Macaca fascicularis: one gene and its partners. The main gene of each other region encodes a partner of the protein of the gene in region 3 in a complex. Links are inferred from orthologs where the notes say so. Each region holds a gene or a part of one and is shown on either strand. Other genes may lie near its edges.

The links.
Region 1: POLR2H (region 3) and POLR1H share a complex: the UniProt entries of both Homo sapiens proteins name them as parts of the pol I pre-initiation complex. The link is inferred for Macaca fascicularis from reciprocal best matches to the Homo sapiens genes POLR2H and POLR1H.
Region 2: POLR2H (region 3) and GTF2H5 share a complex: the UniProt entries of both Homo sapiens proteins name them as parts of the TBP-based Pol II pre-initiation complex. The link is inferred for Macaca fascicularis from reciprocal best matches to the Homo sapiens genes POLR2H and GTF2H5.
Region 4: POLR2H (region 3) and UBTF share a complex: the UniProt entries of both Homo sapiens proteins name them as parts of the pol I pre-initiation complex. The link is inferred for Macaca fascicularis from reciprocal best matches to the Homo sapiens genes POLR2H and UBTF.
Region 5: POLR2H (region 3) and TAF1B share a complex: the UniProt entries of both Homo sapiens proteins name them as parts of the pol I pre-initiation complex. The link is inferred for Macaca fascicularis from reciprocal best matches to the Homo sapiens genes POLR2H and TAF1B.

The regions. Positions count from the first base shown.
Region 1 is NC_088378.1:142,602,386-142,607,311, reverse strand, and holds the start of POLR1H (DNA-directed RNA polymerase I subunit RPA12), read left to right. Parts: upstream 1-1,757; 5' UTR 1,758-1,784; exon of another isoform or gene 1,785-1,793; intron 1,794-1,909; 5' UTR 1,910-1,919; coding exon 1,920-2,064; intron 2,065-2,310; coding exon 2,311-2,411; intron 2,412-2,618; coding exon 2,619-2,728; intron 2,729-4,926. UniProt on the Homo sapiens protein: Core component of RNA polymerase I (Pol I), a DNA-dependent RNA polymerase which synthesizes ribosomal RNA precursors using the four ribonucleoside triphosphates as substrates. Can mediate Pol I proofreading of the nascent RNA transcript.
Region 2 is NC_088378.1:66,517,403-66,522,264, forward strand, and holds the start of GTF2H5 (general transcription factor IIH subunit 5), read left to right. Parts: upstream 1-1,693; 5' UTR 1,694-1,739; intron 1,740-3,217; 5' UTR 3,218-3,255; coding exon 3,256-3,290; intron 3,291-4,862. UniProt on the Homo sapiens protein: Component of the general transcription and DNA repair factor IIH (TFIIH) core complex, which is involved in general and transcription-coupled nucleotide excision repair (NER) of damaged DNA and, when complexed to CAK, in RNA transcription by RNA polymerase II.
Region 3 is NC_088376.1:96,289,584-96,292,355, forward strand, and holds the end of POLR2H (DNA-directed RNA polymerases I, II, and III subunit RPABC3), read left to right. Parts: intron 1-543; coding exon 544-627; intron 628-1,543; coding exon 1,544-1,661; 3' UTR 1,662-1,958; downstream 1,959-2,772. UniProt on the Homo sapiens protein: DNA-dependent RNA polymerase catalyzes the transcription of DNA into RNA using the four ribonucleoside triphosphates as substrates.
Region 4 is NC_088390.1:65,276,393-65,281,020, reverse strand, and holds the start of UBTF (nucleolar transcription factor 1), read left to right. Parts: upstream 1-1,459; 5' UTR 1,460-1,886; intron 1,887-2,238; exon of another isoform or gene 2,239-2,353; intron 2,354-3,174; exon of another isoform or gene 3,175-3,232; intron 3,233-3,597; exon of another isoform or gene 3,598-3,928; intron 3,929-3,991; exon of another isoform or gene 3,992-4,132; intron 4,133-4,628. UniProt on the Homo sapiens protein: Recognizes the ribosomal RNA gene promoter and activates transcription mediated by RNA polymerase I (Pol I) through cooperative interactions with the transcription factor SL1/TIF-IB complex.
Region 5 is NC_088387.1:112,231,995-112,236,807, reverse strand, and holds the start of TAF1B (TATA box-binding protein-associated factor RNA polymerase I subunit B), read left to right. Parts: upstream 1-1,644; 5' UTR 1,645-1,751; coding exon 1,752-1,769; exon of another isoform or gene 1,770-1,980; intron 1,981-3,449; coding exon 3,450-3,548; intron 3,549-4,813. UniProt on the Homo sapiens protein: Component of RNA polymerase I core factor complex that acts as a GTF2B/TFIIB-like factor and plays a key role in multiple steps during transcription initiation such as pre-initiation complex (PIC) assembly and postpolymerase recruitment events in polymerase I (Pol I) transcription.

The DNA.
Region 1 (4,926 bases), on a different chromosome or scaffold from region 3:
TAACATTGTATCTATCTTTTTATTAAATCATTTCCCAGTCTTCCTTGAAGTTTACAGATATGTTTGCTTTATATGTATGTTCTGAGCTCTCACATTTTGCACCTCCTGGCACAATTTTATTGTATTCTAATTATTCATTCATGTTCCTTGAGGTCAAAGAACACAGATTTCAACTTTGCAGGTTCAGCCTCAGCTCAAAACCTGGCATAGTTGCTCAATAAATACTTTATTGAATAGATTGTGAGCTTCTGTTGGGAAAAGGATATGCCTTTCAATGCTTTGTTCTTTACTGCAACTCACAGGGGATGTTGGGTGAGTGTTTTTCAAATTAAAAAGAGAAAATTGAGAAGGGTAGAATTTCAAGTTCCATTTTCAAAGGAGACACACAGATAAGTGAGAATAAAAACTGTCTACGACAATCAGCTCAACAACACATCTCCCTTTGTCAGACAGAATAACAAGCAATTTCACAGTTAAGTGATAGGGCTTGTCACTCTTCAGCAGTTTGCTGAGTTTTAACCCTTTAACTATGGTGTTCTCTCCATTATCACAGAGAAAGGCAGATGGGAGCCTCTCCCAGCGAAAAGACTACAGCTTGTGTCCTTCACAGGACAAAATAGTGATGGCTCCAGAACTTTCATATGAAGGAACTTAGCACAGCTATCAGAGTGGGTGGTGGTGGGAGGACTAGCATGAAACTAGTAAACAACGACAAGCTGCCCCTTCAGGGAAAGTTTCTACTTCGAATATAAGTTACAGAGTAACGAAAATAGCAAGATTTCCGAAAGAAACTTATTCCCATGTTTTATAAAAGATCAGGGAAATGTCAGCTGTCCACTTAATGGATGACGAATAATGAATTAAGAGTTCGATAAGCGGCAGGCACAACTAAAAGCCAAACTCGACCTAAGTCTTATGAAATCCTACTTAATGAGCTTCTTGACTACTGCTAGCCTCACTTATCTGGCAGGAGTCGAAGGAGGGGAAGCCCCAAGCTCTTCTGTTCTACCACCTCCAAAGTCCTGAGCCCCTTCTCAAGTGTCCCACTTCATCCCTGCTTCCTTTCGTCCCGTGGGACTAAGGATTCCTCTGGCCTTCACCCTCACCACTTGCTGTCCCTCAAGAAGCCGACTCACCCCTTTCCAAGCGCGGTGAACCGTCCGCAAAGCACAGGCCGGCTGCGCTCTGCAGAAAGCCCACGCTCGCCAGCGGGACCCAAGGAACGCTAGAACTATACATGCCAGAACACTTAGCTTTGTTTTTAACTACTGTGCAGCCGCAAAAGGGAAATACCAGCTCAGGACCCAGGGGAGTTGTAGTTCTCTAATCCAAAGAAGTCATTATTCAGCAAAGTACGGTTTTCAGGAGGATATTCCCCCGCGATTGGGTTCCCGTAGGATGTGAAACAGAGAATAAATATCCCAGGATTCGGTGCTGGTGGGAAAATTTGCTGGAAGCGCAGCATTGGTTACCAATTTTGTGCTCAACGTCTCAGTACCAGCCTGAAAGTTGAGCCCCAACCTCCCTTAGAAGAGGTGACTCTCCATCTCTAAGGCTTCCGAGACACGGTTCGCAATTAATTATGACGTCACAGCCAATCGTCAGCGTGAAAGCGTGACGCTCTAGCCGGCTCTAGCTCGCTGCCCCGCCGCGGGCGCAGAGCTGGCGCTCTAGCCCACGGAGTTGGCCAGCTCCTCTCGCCGGCCCCAGGAAAGGGTTCCAAGTCCTTTTAGTACCCGACGCTGTCTGGGAGTTCCGGGCGTTTCGGCTCCTTGGTCGCAGAGGCAGGAGGCGTGCGTGGGAGGAGGACTCGGGTTATATACTCCTACGTCCTGGGACGGAATAGTTACCAACTCTGGGGCAGGAACTCTTCTCTCTTTTGTTAATAAACTTCTAACTCCCTCCTCAGACCCGACTGCATGTCTGTCATGGACCTCGCCGGTACTTGCTCCAGCTTTCAGTCGGACTTGGATTTCTGTTCAGATTGCGGCTCGGTCCTGCCTCTGCCCGGGGCTCAGGATACGGTCACCTGTACTCGCTGTGGCTTCAACATCAACGTTCGGGGTGAGAGGCTTGTACACAGGGGTCCTGGCGGAGGGCCCAGGATCGGAAGCTTGGGGAACTCAAGATAGGTTGGGTTCAGAAGGGGATCCTAGAGCAGGACATCAGGCAGTTGTACATTTGGTCCAGCGATGAAAACTGAGGGAAAGGATATAGGGCCTCCTGGCCTAACCAGCCAGGGGAGAGGGGAAGTTTCCGGTGTCAGCTCCCTCAGGTTGTCTCCATAACCAGTCTTACTTGCCTGTGCAGACTTTGAGGGGAAGGTTGTGAAGACTTCAGTTGTGTTCCACCAACTGGGGACAGCCATGCCTATGTCGGTGGAGGAAGGGCCTGAGTGCCAGGGACCTGTGGTAAGTTAATGAGATCAAGAACTGGCTCCATAAGGTGGGTAGGAAAGAAATGGAGGAGTGATTGCAGAGATCTGGAGAGTTTTGTGCCCAATTCCAAGTGGGAAAAGATGTAAAGCATCGATGTTTGAGAGGCGTGATCGCCTGGTTCCTGTGGGAAGTAAGGGTATGATATGACCAGGCCTCCATAACCCACCAGTTTCTTCCCAGGTTGACAGGCGCTGCCCTCGATGTGGTCATGAAGGAATGGCATACCACACCAGACAGATGCGTTCAGCCGATGAAGGGCAAACTGTCTTCTACACCTGTACCAACTGCAAGTGGGTATCCTTTCCCCTCCCTTTGCTCAGTCTGTTTGCTAACTAATAAACAAATCCAGTGATTTATTTTTTTGTACTAAACGGCTGTGTCCTTTCGTCCCATCCCTTATTTCTGTGCAGTTCTGGTAAGAGGGAGATTTGTAGTTTTTATTTTTTTAAATTACACTTTTTTAACCCTTTTTGTAACCAGTGAAATAAACCTTTTAGGTTTTTGTTTTGTTTTTTTTTTTTTTTTTTAAATGGACAGGGTGTTGCTCTGTCACCTAGCCTGGAGTGCAGTGAGGCAATCTTGGCTCACTGCAACCTCCGCCTCCTGGGCTCAGGTAATCCTCCCACCTCAGCCTCCAAAATAGCTTTGGGACCACAGGCACGTGCCACCACACCTGGCTTTTTGTTTTGTTTTGTTTTTTGTATTTTTAGTAGAGATAGGGTTTCTCTCTGTTTCCCAGGCTGGTCTTGAACTCCTGAGCTCAATCAACCCACCTCAGCATCCCAAAGTGCTGGGGATTACAGGCATGAGCCACCCTGCCTGACCTTCTTTTAGGATATTTAAAAGGAAATGAAGAAAAAAAACCATAAGAAGCAAGTATTGTTTAGTGGTCAGCGTCTTATACTGCAGTCTTCAACCGCAGTCAAGGTAGCTTTACTTTGGAGAGAATTAGTCACACATGATTTAGAGAACATGGGCTTTCTGAATGCTTTTAAGACCTCATCTTTGTCTTTGGTGTTCTGCAGTCACTATAGTATATCAAAATGTGATTTTCTTTTATTCTGTTTGGGATTTGTTGGACTTTCTGAAACTGAGAGTGCATTGTTGTTTTTTGTTTTGTTTTGTTTTTTTGAGACGGAGTCTCGCTCTGTCTCCCAGGCTGGAGTCCAGTGGTGTGTTCTCGGCTCACTGCAAGCTCCGCCTCCCGGGTTCACGCCATTCTCCTGCCTCAGCCTCCTGAATAGCTGGGACTACAGGTGCCCCCCACCACGCCCGGCTAATTTTTTGTGTTTTTTAGTAGAGACGAGATTTCACTGTGTTAGCCAGGATGATCTCGATCTCCTGACCTCGTGATCCACCCGCCTCGGCCTCCCCAAGTGCTGGGATTACAGGCGTGAGCCACTACGCCCAGCCTAGAGTGGATTTTTTTTTCATCAACCTTGGAAAATTATCAGCCATCATCTCTTTTAATATTCTCTTTCCCCCATGTTCTCAGTCCTCACATTCTGGACCTCTAATTAGTTACTAGAATGAGATTTCTCTCTTCTGTCCTCCATTTCTCTCGCCCTCTTTTCATATTTTCAATCGCTTTTCTCTTTATGCCACCTTCTGAGTAATTTCTTCAGGTTCCTCTTCCATGTCACTAGTTCTGTCTTCAGTTTATTTCAAATATTATTATTTTTTACTATTGTTATTATTTTGAGTTCTATTTAATTACTTTTCAAATCTCAATTTTTAAATAATTCTCAGTTCCTTAATCATATTTTAAATTGTTCCTTTTACTAGTCTTTAAATATATAAAATATTAAATATAGTTATTATATTCTATGTCTCATAATTCTGATATCCATGGATTTTGTGTGTCTGATGCTGCTGTCTGTTTCTGCTGTCTCTCTCATAGTGCTTTTTTCTTTGTTTTGTAATTTTTGACAATAAATTTGAGTTTTTTAGAACTTGAACTGTAGGAATTCTTTGAGGCCTTGGGTAAGTGCTGTATTCTCAGCATTTGTGTTTCTTTTCTAGGTGCCTTGAAGCACTATCAAGCTGGAATTACTTTAAATAAATTCTTGGCTTCATGTTTTTTGGAGCACACAGATAGTATGAATTTGAGCTGCAAATCCATGTAAGGGCTAGCTTATGGCTAGAAATTCTCAGGAAAGAGTTTTCTCTCTTTCTACCTACTGAGACAGTCAAATTCCCCTTCTATAGAGTTGAATTTTTTCTTTTGTTGTTCACTTTTACAAAAAAGGGCAGCCTTTTGCAGTTCCCAAATTTATGCACAGGATCTCCTATCAACCTTACACATTTTGTCCCTCATTTCCTATGCTTCCAGTGACTGTTGCAACAGTATAAAGGGCACCATAGTGTCACTGTCACATTTCATAGGGACATCAGTTTTAACTTCACTGTCTGGATTTCTGGTTTTACAGAACTTTTAACCAGTATGAAGACTGCCTTTACTTTCTTGCCATCTCATCAAAAGATTAAA
Region 2 (4,862 bases), on a different chromosome or scaffold from region 3:
CACTGAATTTGTACAATTGAGGAAAACTGACATCATTTTGTTGAGTCTTTCCATCCATGAATACGGTATATCTTACCATTTACTTGGGTCATCTTTTGTGTTCCAACAGAGCCTTACAATTTTCTGTCTAAAGGACTACGCAGCTTTAGGTTGATCTACTTCTAGATAACTTCAGTTTTCAACGCCATTATGAATAGTGTCTTTATTATTAAAACTCCTAGTTAATTGTTACTGATATACAGAAGGTTTTTAAATGCAGAAATTAAGGCAATTTCTGACATCCCCCGGCCAAAATAACCCCTCTAGTCACCCTTTATCACATCACCAAATGGTACTTATTCCTTAACCGATTTGTGTCTCTCTGCCCCAACCAAAATTAGTTACTTGTTCACCATTGTATCCCAAGTGTCTAGAATAATAGCTGGCACACATCAAGTGCACAAAAATGGAACTGATGAGGTCAAGGAAGAGAATGTATGCAAGATGAAAAAAAGCAAATTGAAAGAGGGAACTAAATGGAAGAGCTGGGTTCCTAAGCGATCACATGAACACACACGATGTAAAAAAAAAAAAAAAAAAAACGCAGTATGAGGTCGGGCGCGGTGGCTCACACCTGTAATCCCAGCACTCTGGGAGGCTGACGGGGGCGGATCACCTGATATCAGGAATTCCGGACCAGCCTGGCCAACATGGACAAACCCCGTCTCTACTAAAAATACGAAAATCAGCCGGGCGTGGTAGCGCACGCCCGTAATCCCAGTTACTAGGGAGACTGAAGCAGGAGAACTGTTTGAACCTAGGGGACGGAGGTTGCAGTGAGCGCAGATCGCGCCACTGCACTCCGGCCTGACCGACAGACCGAGACTCCATCTCAAAAAAAAAAAAAAAAAAAAAAAAAAAGAAGGTAGAGCTTAATTCGGGAAGTACAATTTAACCTAAGGAACAGAAAACAAGAATCTCATATCTCAACTAGTAAAAATAATGAGAGTGCTCCTTTAGATTACAGAACAGATTTGGGGAAAGGGAATCACTTCAGAAGCTTCTGGGGTCTTTCACTTTTAAATGACCGTTGCCGAATTTAGAGATCTCTCAGTATTCAATCGTTTCCATCTCTGGGGTTAGAGGGGGAGCCGGAAGCGGTGGTCTGGAAGGCTCAGAAGTGACCGGTGAGGCCCTTTCCTCCTCCTCCTCATTATCTCTCCGTGACTACCGAGCCCGGGAAGAAGGACCGGTAGGTGCACTCCCCGAGGCCTCGACAGCAGCCAGAGAAAGGCAGCGACCGGGAAAGACGAGTCAGGCTCGCGACCACCAGAGAGAGGCCCTCACACCCAGGGGAGCGTCAGCGGGTCGGTCCGGTCCGCGCGCCTTACGGTGGCGCCCGGCCGTGCCCGGCCACTGCCCTCCCCATTCTCCACTCCCCACCGCGCCCAGCTGCTCCGACGCCCCCGTCCGCCCCCACACTAGCCCGGCCTTCACGTCCTACCTGCCGGCACGCAGACTCAACCTGTCCCCAACTGCTCGCCGGACCCAGTTGTCTGGGGAGCCCTCCCCTTTCCTCGGCTCCCGGCCGGGGCCTTCCACCCGGCGGCGGGCGGCTTATGACCCCGCCCCCTCGGCCCTCTCCGGGCCCGCCTACTGCCGGTTCGCTCCACTCACAACAGCGTCCCTAGCGCGATGACGTATAGGCGCAGGCGCACTGTGTCGGCGACGCCGAGGCGCTTCTGCATCTGTGGGCTGAGGTGTGTGGCAAGCGTCCGAGTGGCTGGGGAAAGTGGGGTGTGGGCAGACTGAGGGGTCCCAAAGAAAGAGGGGAAGAAGAGGAAAGCCCAAGAAGCCTGTCCACCGGGTGCTGGGGGCACAGGGCGGTGTCCCCCACTCTCTCCAGGCCCTTCCTGGCGGGGCCGCACTGCAGTTCCGCACTCGTTTAATCGTGGGTTTCCTGTGGGGCTAGGGCTCGCCCTGCGCCCAGGTGTAAGTGGAAGTTAGTTAAGTGGGCGGACGCTGAGTGATTTCTTTCCAGCCTAGGTCCGCACAGGACGTGATTTATTTAGTGAAGGGGCACAAGATCTGGAAACCTGGCTTGTACTTTTTTCCCCTTTCCCCGGGAACTACGGCTTAATCTCTTCCTTTGGTCTCCTCATCTGTAAAATGAGGTGGTTGGGGCCGGGCCCGGTGACTCACGCCTGCAATCCCAGCTCATTGGGAGGCCGAGGCGGGTGGATCACTTGAGGCCAGGAGTTCGAGACCAGCCTGGCCAACATGGTGAAACCCCGTCTCCACTAAAAATACAATAAATTGGCCGGGCACGGTGGCTCACGCCTGTAGTCCCAGCACTTTGGGAGGCCGAGGTAGGTGGATCATTTGAGATCAGGAGTTCAAGACCAGCCTGGCCAACATGGTGAAACCCCGTCTCTACTAAAAATGCAAAAATTAGCCTGGCGTGGTGGCGGGCGCCTGTAGTCCCAGCTGCTCGGAGGCTGAGGCAGGAGAATATCTTGATCTCCGGAGGCAGAGGTTGCAGTCAGCCGCCATCACGCCACTGCACTCCAGCCTGGGCGACAGAGCGAGACTCTGTCGCAAAGTATATGTGTGTGTGTGTATATATATATATACACAATACAATACAATAAATTAGCTGGGCTTGGTAGCTCTTGCCTGTAGTCCCAGCTACTCGAGAGGCTGAGGTGGGAGAATGGCTTGAACCTGGGAGGCAAGAGGTTGCAGTGAGCTGAGATCGCACCACTGCACTCCAGCCTGGGCGACAGAGCCAGCCCTGTCTCAATAAAATAAAATATAAACTAAAAGGAGGTGGTTGGGCTCACTGTGTAATTTTTGAAGCACCTTTCAGAACTATCTTTGAGTCCTGTCTCCCAGGATCTTACCCTTTGTCATTCTCCTGAATGGGAAAAGAAATCCTTTGAATAACGGACAGTTTACACCTGGGTTGGGCACACTGGTGTAGAGTTAGGCTGCTTGCTTCTATTAGGGCTAATTGACCTTGGGTAGAGTTGGTTGGCAAGTAAGATGTGGCAATATTCCAAGTAGACTCATTTTAATTTTGTTAAAAAATCAGAATGTCTCTTAATGTTAACTGTCTTTCATAGACTTAACTGTTAAATATTGACACTTAATTATTTTGCCTCATTTCAGAGGCAGTCCCCAAAGTATATGAAAGTTAATGATTTTTAATTCAGTGTTACCTTCTTCTTTTTATTAGCATTCTTGAGGTCATCTGAACCTTCTGACTAAGAAAACATGGTCAACGTCTTGAAAGGAGTGCTTATAGAATGGTTAGTAGTTTTGATACTTCATGAGTTTTAAGTTTAAATATTGAATCTTGACTTACGTGTGTGTCCTTTCTAAAACCCTGTTGTTTTTAAGATATGAATGAAATCAAGTCTTTCACTTTTAACAAGTGGCACAGATTTTGTTGCAAAGTTCCTAGTGCCAGATTTCAGTCCCTCTGTTGAATTGATGGAACTGGCATGATCAGAGGCAGCATATTTGTTAGATGAGTCATCTTTAGAGGAACAGTGCTTGCATTCTCCTCAAACATGACTAGAATTTTAGGTCCTGAAAGAGTTCAGGAACTTGCTTAAGTCTTTACCATTACAAACTGTAGACTTTAAAGAGAAAAACAAGAGAGCCAAGTGGAGAAGGTTTCTTAAATTCCTTTAGATACATTCCAGAGGAGAAACTAAAAACCATAAATGGGCAGGGTTGAGGTCCTCAAAGCAATCCAATGTCTAGGAACCCTGCTCTGTGGACACTCCCATTGTCTGAAAATACTACTGTCTACCTTTCTGTGCCTCTAATATGAGCCAGTGCATGGATAATGATACTGTTTACTGTGATGGCAAAGCTGAGGAGGAGAAGGACCAAACCCTTGGACACTGCCAACAACATAAGCTCATGCATTATGATTAGTGTATGATAGTGGTGAAGGCTGCTTTTGTCACCATCTTGGTTCTGGCTGGTTTCTTTACTGTATCCTCGCTTATCAGTCGGGTCTTCTGACCTGTTGTTTACTGTCTCTCCTGTCTTAGAAACTAGTTCTGCTGAATTCCTATCTCACAGCTGCTTCCACTGTCCCAGGAATCTCTCCAATTTGAATCTCTCCAAATTCCAGTCCCATCATTGTATTAATATAAGCTAATGTGTAATAACTTATATAGTGCTGTTCCACATATATCTTAAGTTGGCTTCACTTACTGCCATATTTAAGCTCCATTTCTATCAGTTATGTTTAACTGATTTTTAAGTCTGCAGAGATTTGCTAAAGAAGTAAACCAAATTATGATGATGGCCATTTATTCTGACCTTCAGTGAATTGAAAAATCAGGGCACTTGGATATAGTTAAATTCTTAACTCCCAAGGGCTTATCACATACTAAAATTGAAGGCTATAAAAAAAAGTTTTATGTTTATAAATTTACATTTTTATGTCAAAACTGAAAGGTTGGTGAAAACTTCCTCTTTGTTGGGATCCACCATTAACTGCCAGGCTCACAGTAAGTATTCTCCCAAGTCTAGCCTCCCAAGCAATTCCCAAAGCAAGCAACACATGACCACAGTATGTCTGTGTCCAGTTCCAGATGCTGGAGCAGACCTCTGGTTTAACAGTTGCCACAATTGGTTTGGCAAGTGCTTCAGCAAAAATTTGTTGGCAAGGTGCAAATTCCAACCAGTTTACATCACAATAGCAAAGAATCTGGAGAAATATGTATTATTAAACCACCCTTATCCTTATGAGTTTGGCTTCTAAACCTGTATTGTTTCTGAGAAGCTAGTAAGAAGTATGACAGGCCGGGCGCGGTGGCTCAAGCCTGTAATCCCAGCACTTTGGGAGGCCGAGACGGGCG
Region 3 (2,772 bases):
GACTTTGGCACCCCACTTGAGTTCATTTCTCAGCTCTATCACTTATTTGTTGAGTAACCTTAATCTCCTTCAGCCTGTTTCCCCATCAGTAGAATAGAGATGATCATGATCATGCCTAGCTCACGGGGTTGCTGCGAGGACTAAATGACATCATGTTTGTTTGTAATGTGCCTTTTTTTTTTTTTTTTTTTTTTTTTTAGACGGAGTCTTGTTATGTCGCCCAGACTGGAGTGCAGTGGCTCAATCTCGGCTCACTACAAGCTCCGCTTCCTGGGTTCACGCCAGTCCCGAGTAGCTGGGACTACAGGCGCCCGCCACCACGCCCGGCTAATTTTTTTATATTTTTAGTAGAGATGGGGTTTCACTGTGTTAGCCAGGATGGTCTCGATTTCCTGACTTCGTGATCTGCCCGCCTCAGCCTCCCAAAGTGCTGGGATTACAGGCTTGATACACCGCGCCCAGCCGACCAGTAACCATTTTTAAATGGGATTTTTTATATTGTTAATTACTGTTAAGAATAACTTTGCTGCTATTGCTCCACAGGGCTGACCAATTTGAATATGTAATGTATGGAAAAGTGTACAGGATTGAGGGAGACGAAACTTCTACTGAAGCAGCAACACGCCTGTAAGTTACATAATCTTATGAGGTTCTTTTCCCTCTCTGTGTTCTGAGACTTTGAGCTATGCTCCTGCTTCCTCTGTTGGGTCCCTCTCCTCAGGCACCTCAGACCTAGGTAGGAACTAGAAAGAAATGGTTCTGAGAGCAGTTTCCAGTCTGAAAGGTAGACTGCTCTTTGTCAGGCCCTCCTGGCCCAGCAGTCCAGATGAGAAACTGGTTATCTTACTGTGTAAAGTGCAAAGGAGACTTGCTTCTCCAGAAACAAATGCAGCATTAAGTGATTATCCTATTAGGCTGTGTGTGTGTGTGTGTGTGTGTGTGTGTGTGTGTGTGTGTGTGTGTGTGTGTTTTGCTACTCTGTAACCCAATCCCTAGTTCCTTGGTTTTCCTGTCCAGCTATTTTTTCTTTTCTTTAAAATCTTATTAAAACAATATGTGCTTTTTGTAAGCAATTTGAAATGCAGAAGAGTAATGTGAAGAAGGAAAAAAAAAAGTCACCTGTAATTCCATACCCAGAGATAACCTTTTACATAGACTTTTTTGCATATCCTGGTGTTCTGTTTTTTCCTTTGAGACTGTGGTGTTTATTATGTTTTCTTCTGCTCTTTTTGCTTAACATTATGTAAAATATGTTTCCCCATGTTAGTGTGAAGCTTTTCTTAAATGTTTTAATAGTTGCATAACATTTCAGTAAGTGGATACATCTTGATTCATTTGACCATTCCCCTGATTTGGGGCATATAGGTGTTTTCCACCTTCGCTAATATAAAGAACAGTGCCTTGCACATATCTTGATCTTTGTCAGAATTTTGGTTCCTAGTGACAAAACAGTAGAAAGATGCCTCTTCTTTTTCTTAGGCTGAGATGGAGAGCTGCTGAGTAGCAGTGCTCCAGACTCATGGGATGGGGCCTTCTGTTTCAGCTCTGCCTATGTGTCCTATGGGGGCCTGCTCATGAGGCTGCAGGGGGATGCCAACAACCTGCATGGATTCGAGGTGGATTCCAGAGTTTATCTCCTGATGAAGAAGCTAGCCTTCTGAACCTCGCCAGAAGCCAGCCTTGCTGCCTAGTCACTCAGGTCATCGGCATTGTTCAAGCCTGAGTGGCAGCCAGTCTTGCTCACCTGTTGAGGAGGGGCTGGCTCACTGTCCACTGTGGTGGCATCTTTAACTGGCCTGCACTCAAAGGGAAACTGACTCGCCTGTGAAAGACAGTGGGAAAGCTGCAAATGAATCAGAAGCTTTGTGTATATGATTTTTAAATTAAACTTTACTTTTTCAGACTGCCCCTCCCCTTTTTGTAAAAAGTTCATTTACTGTAAAATCATTTTTTTGCAATTTGTCTGTGGTGTACTGTTTCTGGCCCACAGCCAGCTGATCACTTGTCAATGTAGGATCTATTCCAGCCTTTTGGTATCTGGGTTCAGGGTTATCTCAGTCTCCTGGCTGACTGTTCTCAACATTTATCCTCCAATGCGGTTTTCCGTTTGGGAGAGAGTGTTGTACTTTTGGCTCCTGAGGGTACCCCAGGCCCAGAAGATACCACCCATTTGGCGCGGAATTTTGAATTGGCAAGGAGCCCTGCTCGGGTCCTTCCAGCACTTTCAGGCTCTTAGGAAGTCAGTTCACGCTGACTTGATTGAGTCGCTTGCATAGTCTAGAAATGTTCATTATTTTTATGGAAGATGTGCACAGAGGCTTTTAGCCTTTTAGGCATGGGAGATGACTATGAAGAGAGTAGGAGGAGAGGACTTGGTGGTTCTGGAAGCAGCTGGAGGAGCTGGCTCTCTACATTCCAGTGGGAGGGAGGGTAAGTGGAAGTGGACAGGGCAGCAATACCAATGAAGCTGGCGGGCCAGAGCCAGGACAATGTGGCGGCCTGACTACAGTCACTAACTTATGAGTGGGGGAAGAAAAACATTAAGGAAATGGCTCTGATGATAAGGACTCCTTCAGCATGTGAGCTGGCTCTTCAGCCTGGCATTAGGGGTCTCTAGGAAAGCATATGGGGTTCTGTTTTCCCCTAGGAAGTTTAGGGTAACAATCCAAAGAGATTCTCTGTGTATTAAACAGTTGTCTGTTTGATCTGGTTTTGCCTGGGAGCTGGTTCCCCTGCTGGGATACCTGGGGTATTTCCTTCCCCATCATTTTC
Region 4 (4,628 bases), on a different chromosome or scaffold from region 3:
GTGTATATTCCAAGGGCCAATCTGGGTTTGTAAGGCCAGAAACATGTGCAATTGCGGGGTGAGGGGTAGGTGGTCGGTGGCTCTTTTGACAAAAAAAAAAAAAAAAAAAAAATGAAAACAAAATTAAGTTCAGGGTCTTGGGCAGGTCCTCAAAGTTAGGGGCCTAGAAGCTGAAATTAATCTACGAGTGGTAAATCCGCCTCTCCTATATGCCAGTGCCCCCAAAAACAAACAAACAAACAAACAAAAACAGGACACACCAGATCTTGACAGGGCTTCCTCCCTGTTTGTGAAACGTGACAGAAGTGGGATCTGGAAGTCCTGGGAAAACAATCTCATTTCTCCCAGGAGACAAGAGGAATTACAGCAGCAAAGAGGCAGGCCGAGTGGAGGAGAAGGCTGCATGCCAGGGGAGAGTCGAAAGGGGCTGGGTGATCCAGCTGGCCGAGATGCGGGAAGTAGAGCCTCGGTGTGGGAGACTGGCAGCCTGAGAGCCAGGAGCAATGGCGCTGCCCCAGAAGCGGTGGCTGGAGGCTGGGCCTGCTGGAAGCAGGCTTCCTTCAGATGGTCTTCTGGCTCCCTGCGTCCTGTCCTGATAACCTTTCCTCTGAAAAGGGGAGGCAAAGACAGACAACCACAGCCATGGTAGTGGGAGGGTGGGTGGTGGACCCCGTCCAGGCCTTTCATCCCCGGCCTGCAGTTTAGTGAACCGGGAGACGTCTCGTCGGAGGCTGCTCCGCTGCCGCCCGGAGCAGCGAGAACCGGGTGCTGGGCTCCCCTCGCGGCTGCCCGCCGCCGCCGGGGGGCAGCGCCTGCGGCCTGCTTTCCCAGGGCCGGCCGAGGCTTTTTGACAAGCTGATTGCGTGGCGGGGATTGGCTGGTCCGGGCGTGACGCCGGTAACAACAAAGGTGGAGTTGGAAGAAATTAGATTAAAGGAGAGAAAAAAAATTAAAGGGGGAGCTGGCAAAAGACAGGAGGTATAGACCGAGGGGGAGATGCGCCAAGTGGTGTCTCCCGGTTCCGACTCCCCCCGCCGCCTCGACCCCAGAAGATCCCTCGCGCAAACCCACTGGGATTTTGCTCTTTCCCCTACCCCCGCCCAGTGACCGACGCCGGGGTAGGAAGGATAGCCGCTTCTTCTTGAAAAATCCCCGCAACTCCCACCCTGACACCCCTCACTACGACCCAGGGGGAGAACTTTTTGCTCGGACTCCTCGGATCCTAAACCCAGCGAAGAGGGGGACATTGATAAGCTCGTCCTTTTAAAACCCGGAAGGCCCTCGCGGAGCATGGAGATCGGATAAGGCGGGGTGCTCCCTCGGTTTTCCGATGTGTTGCAAATCTAAGAGCTTCTTTCTCGCTTTTTTTTTTTTTCCCCTGTAACTACCCCCCCTCCCTTTTGCTTCAGGGTTGCAAAAGCAAAGAGCAATAAAAAAAAAAAAAACCGCGCACACACTCAGACACACACCAGTGGCGACAGGGGAGAGTTGGAAAGACGCAGGAGAGAAGCAGGAGGCAGGAGGCAGCGGGGATGGAGCAATGGGAGCGGGAAGCAGGCAGGTTTCCTTGCAAATCCCCCTCCGGCCTCACGCCGCCTCGCCAGCCCCGGCAGGGGAGCGAGGACCCCGGCGAACAGATGGAGGAGTGGAGCTCGCTCTAGGCAGCTGGGCTTGGCCGGAGAATGGAGGAGCCACCAAGCGACCGGCTGATTGGAAGAGAAACGCAGAGCGATGGAGGCGGGGGTAGGAGGACGATTTCTCTGCGGGGACTGGCGGCGGCGTACACGCCCGGGTCGGGCGCTGCAGAGCTTGGCTGGCTTTCAACCCGCGCTCGCCGGCTCCAGCCCCGCGCGCCCCCACCCCTAGCCCTCCCGGCGGCTCCGCAGGTGAGTGCGAGCTGCGGGCAGAAAGATCCAAAAGTCTCAACACGCCCGCCCTGCAAAAAAGGAAAAAAGAAAAAAAAGGAAGAAAACCATTTTACTTAAAAAAAAATTTTTTTTTTGTGCAACCCCTAAAGCAGTGGGAGGGAAGGGGTGAGGCTGAGCCGCCCGGAGGAGGCGGAGGGGCCAGGCGAGGCCGGGGTGGCCCGGGAGGCGGCGGCGCCGAGGCGGCTCTGACGGGCAAGCGCTCGGAGCGGCGCTGCGCTGCGCCGAGGCGGGCGGGCGGGCGGGCGGAGCGGGGCGGGCGGAGCGCGGCGCGTGGGGCTCGCCATTAGCCGTCGCTCCGCTTCGCCATCTCGGGCTTTGTCTGGCGACTCGCTGCCCCGGCGTCGGCTGCAGCGGAGCTGCGGCTCGGCTGTTCCGCCCGCCGTGCTCCCAGGTGCCCCCGGCCTGCGCTCCCATCCACACGCTCGGTAAGTGAGCCCGGGCGCCGCGGATTTCGGGGGAGAGGGGTTGCTACGAGTGGCGGCGGCACCGATCTCCATGCGCCCGGGCAGGCCTGGGAGCCATGCCGGGCTGGATTGAACCGGCTCCCACAGCGGCCCCTCCGCCGGAGCCCGTCGTTCCCTCGCCGTTTCCGGGGTGTAAAGAGCAACGGGGATTTTTTTTTAATGCAGAGATTTTCGGTTTTGGGTTTTTTTAAAGTTTCCTATGTACCGTTCGGCAATGAGAGGATCGCGAGGTAGGCGCCGAAGCTGGACGCCGCGATCGGCGTGCGTGCGCCCCAAACCAGTGGCCACGCTCCGGGGGATGAGGGTGGGCGCGGACCGCTCGCTCCGGGAGGCGGGAGAGAGCTGGCCTGGAAGCCCCAGTCTGAGCTGGGAGGACTTGGGGGAGAGCTCCGGAGCAGGGCTGTGGGCGCCCCCCAAGCCTTCCTGGCCGCCGGGGGCCCCTCCGGGCACCCTCTCCGCGGCCGCGCCTCGGCCCTCCCTCCCGCGCCGGCAAAGCCTGCTAGTTCCCCCGCGGGTCTGGCGAGGTCGCTCTCGGCGCCCGCCCGCCCGCCCGCCCCGGCTCCGAGCCCCGCCGCCATCCGGGCGGCTGCGTGTCTCCCTGCCCCGGCCCCCCCCTTCCCCGGCGGCGGCGGCGGCGGCGGCAGCAGCAGCAGCAGCAGCCGCCGCCGCCACCAGCACCACCACCACCCCCCTCCCCTCCTTCCTTCCCTCCGCCTCGGCCGCCCGGGTCCCCCCAGCTCCCGCCCCTCCTCCCAGCTGCCCCCCGCGGAGCCCGCCCGGGCAGGCTGTGGGAGGGAGCGGAGCCGGCGAGGCGGGCGGGCTGGCGCTCGCTCCCCGGGGGTCGGTGTGCGCTCTACGGGGAAGGACGCGCTCGCTGCCCCGCTTCTCCCGCCCCCCCTCCCGCTCCTCCTCCTCCCTTCTCCCTCCTCCTCCCCGCTCCGGCGGCTGAGGCTGCGGCGGCGGCGGGGGGTGTGCGAGCTGAGGCCGGGGCCGGCGGCGGGCGGGCTGCCTGCAGGCGGAGGGCGCTGTGCTTTGTGCTTTTCGCCGCGAGGAGCAGCAGGCAGCAGCCACAGCCGCCGCCGCCGCCGCCACAGCAGCAGCAGCCGCCGCCCCAGCGCCGCCGCCTCGCCCGGAGGAGGAGCCGCTGCCGCCGCGGGAGGGAGCTGCGGCTGTGCCCGGCCGAGCGGGGGAGGGCGCCGCCACTCAGAGCCGGGGAGGGAGCCGCCGGAGCGGGAAGCCCGGAGGCCGCGCTGCGCCGGGTAACCGAGGCGGCTGAGGACGCGCGCTGGGTTCGGGGCCGGACAGCAGGGAGCGAACCGCGGGTTGCGGTGGGCGCCCAGCAGGGACCCGGAGCGACCACCGAGCAGGGGACCGGGCGCGAGCAGACCAGGGCACTTGGGAGGACGCCGAGAGCCGGGGGAGGGGAAGGCAGGAAGCGAGGCCTGAGCCGAGCCACGGCCGCTGGCGGAGGAGCCCGCGCTTCTCGGATCCGGCAGGCGCAGTTCTCCCCGGCCGCCGGAGGGGGCGGCGGGGCCGGTGAGCGCTGCGCCCCCGCCTCCCGGCCGCCGTCCTCCCGCCCTCTCCTTGGCTCGGCTCCCCGGAGGCCGGGGCGGGGGCGCCGGCGGGGCTGGGCCGCAGGCTCGGGGGAGGAGGCGGCGGTTCCCGCCGCGGTCGCGCCTCTGTGCCGGGCTCCTCCGTGCGCGTCGGGGTGGCTGGGTGGTGGCGGCGCCTCTGGCCGGGGTGGGTGGCTCGGGGGCGGGGGGCAGGCTAGGCCGCTTCTCTCCGGCTGCTCGCCCGCCTGTGCGGGCGGGGACGGCGAAGGGAGCCCGGGAGGGGGGAGCGGCGGGAATCCGGATCCGGTCCCCGGGGGCGGTGCGGCCGCTGCGCTCCGGGGCTGGCGGCGGCTGCGCTGCGTCCGGGTCCCCGCCGGGTTGCGGAGGCGGGGGGAACCGGCTGGGGGGAGGCGGGAGGAGGAGACTGGGGCGCGTGCCCGCTTCCGTGGCCGCGCGCGCCCTTTACCCGCCCTTCCTCTTCCCCCGCCCTCCAGCCTGGGGCCTCCCCGGGGCGGGCGCTCAGAGGAGGAGGAGATTTTTTTTTTTTGGCTGGGGTTGGGGAAGGGGGGCGGAGAGCGGGCGCTCGCTGCACGCGGGAGCTGGGAGCAGGCCCTCGCGTGGGCAGGGGAGGGCGCGCGCCGCGGAGCCGGGCCGCAGGGGCTGGGGGAGGGGGGTCAGGAAGA
Region 5 (4,813 bases), on a different chromosome or scaffold from region 3:
TTATCAGTTACTTTGATTTTCTTTGCTCCATTGCTCAGACTGAAGCACAGTGGCCTGATTATAGCTCACGGCAGCCTTGAGCTCCTGGGCTCAAGCAAACCTCCTGTCTCATCCTCCCAAGTAGCTAGGACTGCAGGTGTGCACCACCAAGCTGGGCTCTTCTTTTCTTTTCGATCAATCTTTCCAGAGTTTATCGAATGTATTAGTCTTTTCAAAGAGTTAATGTTAGTTTGTCGAGACTCTTTTCTTAAAAAATATCTTTTAAGCTGGGCGCGGTGGCTCACGCCTGTAATCCTAGCACTTCGGAAGGCCGAGGCGGGCAGATCACTTGAGGTGAGGAGTTCGATATCAGCCTGGACAACATGGTGAAACCCCGTCTCTACTAAAAATACAAAAATTAGCTGGGCGTGGTGGCACGTGCCTGTAATCCCAGGTACTTGGGATGCTGAGGCAGAAAAGAGAATTGCTTGAACCTGGGAGGTGGAGGTTGCAGTGAGCTGAGTTGGTGCCATTGAACTCCAGCCTATAGAGATGAGGACTCAATATGTTGGGCAGGCTGGTCTCCAACTCCTGCCCTCCAGCAATCCTCTGGCCTTCACCTCCCAAAGTGATGGGATTACAGGCACCAGCCACCACAGCCTCTGTGGAGCCTCTCTATCGAAGCTTGCTTTCTCTTTTTTAAACATTTCCTTCATCCCATTATTTTTCAGTTTAACCTTTTTTCTAACTTCTTGAGATATATGATTATATCAAAAGATCTTTCTTGAACATCCCATTTCAGACTGAAACCACTCTCCTCTTTTTCTCCTTGGCACTCACCACCATTTAACATACCACATATTTTCCTCATTTATTTTTGTCTCTCCCCATCAGAATGGAATCTCCACGAAGGCAAGGACTTTTGTTTACTGCTGAATCCCCCGGACCGAAACCAGTTCCTGTTTAATAAATAAAACAAGGAATGAATGTGTTAAATGAAGAAACAATAAGAGCTAAATTTATTGAGCAGTTACTGAGACTCAATTATATTCACTCATGCATTTATTTATTCAGTTATTTACTTATTTAGAGAAGGGGTCTCGCTTTGTTGCCCAACTCCTGGCCTCAAGCAATCCTCCCAGCTCAGCCTCCCCAGGATTACAGGCGTGAACCACCACGCCTGGCGGAGACTCAATTATAAGGGGCTCACAGATAACATCTAATTCTTACAGAGGAGGAAACTGAGGCACAAGTAAGCAGGAGAGCCGTGATTGGAAACCTAGGTCTAACTCACGGCCCGTGAGCTTTCCTCCAAGTCCCGAGGCTTCCCCTTAAAAAAGCCAGCGAGGGATGAGACCCGGAGGGCAGAACCCACAGAGGGCGGAGCCCACGGAGGACAGAAACCGCGCTCGCGAGCTCGGCCTTGCGCGGCCCCTAGCAGCCAGACGAGCAAGCCGGCCTTGGAATGAATGACCTTCGGAACGGAGCTTGATCGAATCACTCAGCAGTAGGCGTCGCCCACTTTCTTATTGGTTGGTTTTGGTTCTCAAGAGTAGGAAACGAAGATAGTCCGCGAGGGGGCTGCGGACTTCGCGGAGCCTCGCCCCCGGGCGCGCTGGTTCCCGGGGGCGCTGGTTCCCTGCCGCGCAGGCGCACGGAATCCTCGGCTCGGATCTCGCGTTTCCGGCCGTAGGGCTTCTCCCGCCTCTCCCGGAAGCTGCGCTCGCTACCCGGGTAACGGGTCCCGGCTGTGAAGCTTCCGCGGCGCCCCGATGGACCTCGAGGAGGCGGTAAGGAGGCGGTGCGCCTGGCGGGCCCCTACTGCCGGGGCCGGAGGGGAGAAAAGCTGAGGAGGAGCGGCGGAGAACGCCTCGGGTTGGGGCGGCCACCGGTTGGAGGAAGGCGGGGCGGAGGGCTGCGGGGCGGGGTGACGACTGGGCGCTGGCCGGCCGCATGCGCGGGCGGCGTTGGTAAAGAGGCTGGAGTTTCTGGCTCGGCGAGGTTGTGGGCGAGGGAGGGTGTGGGGTTTGTCGTTATGGATGTTTGTGTTTAAGGATGAAGTTGTGGGTTTTGTGGGGTGGCCACCCACAGGGCTCATCCTCTAGACTGGACCACCCACAAGTTCCCTTTAATGCTGGGGTGGGTGAAGGGGGAGCAGGGTTTGGAACCTGAGATGCCCCCGGGTAACCCCTGTCGGTCTCTCCGGGAATCCTCGCCGCTGTCTCCTGCAGGGATTCTGAATTCGGGTTTGGGAACTCCCCCAATTTTCCAGCTGTCATTTATCGTAGTGTTAGTACGGGGTCATTGAACACTTTACCAAGTTGCCAAAATTAATTTGGCATGCACTTTTTTTTTGTTTTAGGTGCTACGTAAAATGGCACATTTTTGTTTTTTTCTTTTTGAGACAAGGTCTCACTTTGTCCCCCAGGCTGGAATGCAGTGGCACATCACGATCACGGTTCACTGCAGCCTCGACCTCCTGGGCTCGAGAGATCCTCCCGCCTCAGCCTTCCAATTAGCTAGTACTGCAGAGGTGCGCCACCACTCCCGGCTAATTTTTTTTTTTTTTTTTTTTTGGTAGGGGCAGGGGTCTCGCTATGTTGTCCAGACTGGTATTGAACTCCTGGGCTCAGGCGATCTTCCTGCCTCAGCCTTTGCAAAGTGCTGGGATTACAGGGATGAGCCCCCGCACCCGGCCAAATGGCAAATGGCACACACTTTGATGGTATTAAATGGTACTTGATAATTAGATCAACGCTAACAACAAGTCAAACTCCAAAGAGTTGGGAATCAGAGAATTAGGCCTGTATATACGGAAGCAGTACGGCCTTATAATACGGGCTTAAAAAATGTTTATTGAATGATGGTTGGCTAACTTCTGTAGATGCTAGGCTGATGAAATTAATCATTGTAACTCACCATTAGCTAGTGTATCCCCAGACTAGGGACCATGTCTGGTCTGTTCTGCTCACCATTGAATCCCCAGCACTTAGTAAAAAGCCTAGTACACCCAGAGTTGATACTCTTTATGCTCCCCAGTGGATAAATCGAAACTGGAAACCAGTACAAATCTAGTTCCTCTGTGGTATGCGCTTTTAGTGTCCTGGAGGAGTTCCAAATGGTATTTGCATTTTTAAAGTCTTCTCTATACTTATTTGTCATCTTCTTTCTCACAGAATTTTCAAGGAGCTTTGTTTACTCATCTTTGGTTCCAGTTTACCCCTACTACCTCCTTTTCTTTATTTTTCCTCTCACATTGCATATTTCAATAAATTTTCTCCAGCAGTTTAATTCGATTTCATACCGCTCCTCTCCTTGTTTGCAGATAATCTCTCTGATATATTTTCTATTGTGTATGATTTTTTGTTTATAAAGTTGCAAGGAACACACTAAGTAGAACTGCAGGGTTTAGGTACGATGTATTGAATGTGGCTTGATGGGAACACCTTTTCTGTCCTCTTCTCCCATAGGAAGAGTTTAAAGAACGCTGCAGTCAGTGTGCTGCTGTCTCATGGGGCCTTACTGATGAAGGCAAATATTATTGCACTTCTTGCCACAATGTTACAGAGGTAAGTAACAAATACCATTTATGAGTTTGCTTATGTTTTAAAAATTACTATTTCAACCTGCTATGTAGTCTAAGTCCCAAAGAATTTGGTTAATTTTTGTCACTCGTGCAATGCCAACATTCCAAGGATGTGAGTGGTCTTGGGTACTTACACATAGGTTAAGGGATTTGTGAATTAGATTGAGGATGAGTTTTTGAAATTATGTTGGGCCACATTTATAAATGATTTCTTATTCAGAGTATATGGTTGAGGGAAATAATTAAAATTGTACTTAGAAGATGATGCATTTCTTTTTATTAGTACTTATTTACATTTTTAAAATGTGTCATGGTGGCTTAGAGGTTTGGAAGATGGAATGTTAGAAAACTTGAGGACTGGGCTGGGCGCGGTGGCTTATGCCTATAATCCCAGCACTTTGGGAGGCTGAGGCAGGTGGATCACCTGAGGTCAGGAGTTCGAGACCAGCCTGGCCAACATGGGAAAACCCCGTCTCCACTAAAAATACAAAAATTAGTCGGGCGTGGTAGCATGCGCCTGTAGTCCCAGCTACTCAGGAGGCTGAGGCAGGAGAATTGCTTGAACCTGGGGGCAGAGGTTGCAGTGAGATGAGATCACGCCACTGTACTTCAGCCTGGGCAACAGAGCAAGACTCCATCTAAAAAAAAAAAAGCTTAAGGACTGTTGGGAATGTTGGAACTACACTTCATTATCCTTTTATCTTTGTATAGTACCGTACAGATTACAAAGTGTTTTTGGATTCATTATCTCATTTCCTCCTCATCACCAATGTGAGAGCCTATTGATAGGGCTCACAATTTGAGTGAGTTTGCCAAAGTTACCCAAGTTCCAGGACTTGAATATGAGTCTTCTGACTTCAGCGTTCATTTTACCCATCTTGTCATACTGTCCTGTGTAACCTTGGTAAAGGAGGCTACCTTCACGTTGTGAGGGCTAGGTCCTATTGTGGTGAACACACCTGCAGGCCAGCATCACCAAAATAATCAAGGGTGTAGAGAGTCTGCTAGTAGACGGGCTAAATGTGGCCAGGACTCTCCTCTGTGGAAAAGGATTTCCTCAAATCTACAGAGCCAGGAAGGGACAAATGTTACCTTCACCGTACGGGCTTAAGAAAGGCAAATTTGGGACGATAAAAGTAACTGTAGACTTCTGCTTCTGGCTGAGATGGAGTAGCAGAGACCAGACTTAACTTTGTCCGCTAAACAACGAAAAACCTGGACAAAATATATGAAACGAGTAAAAGGAAA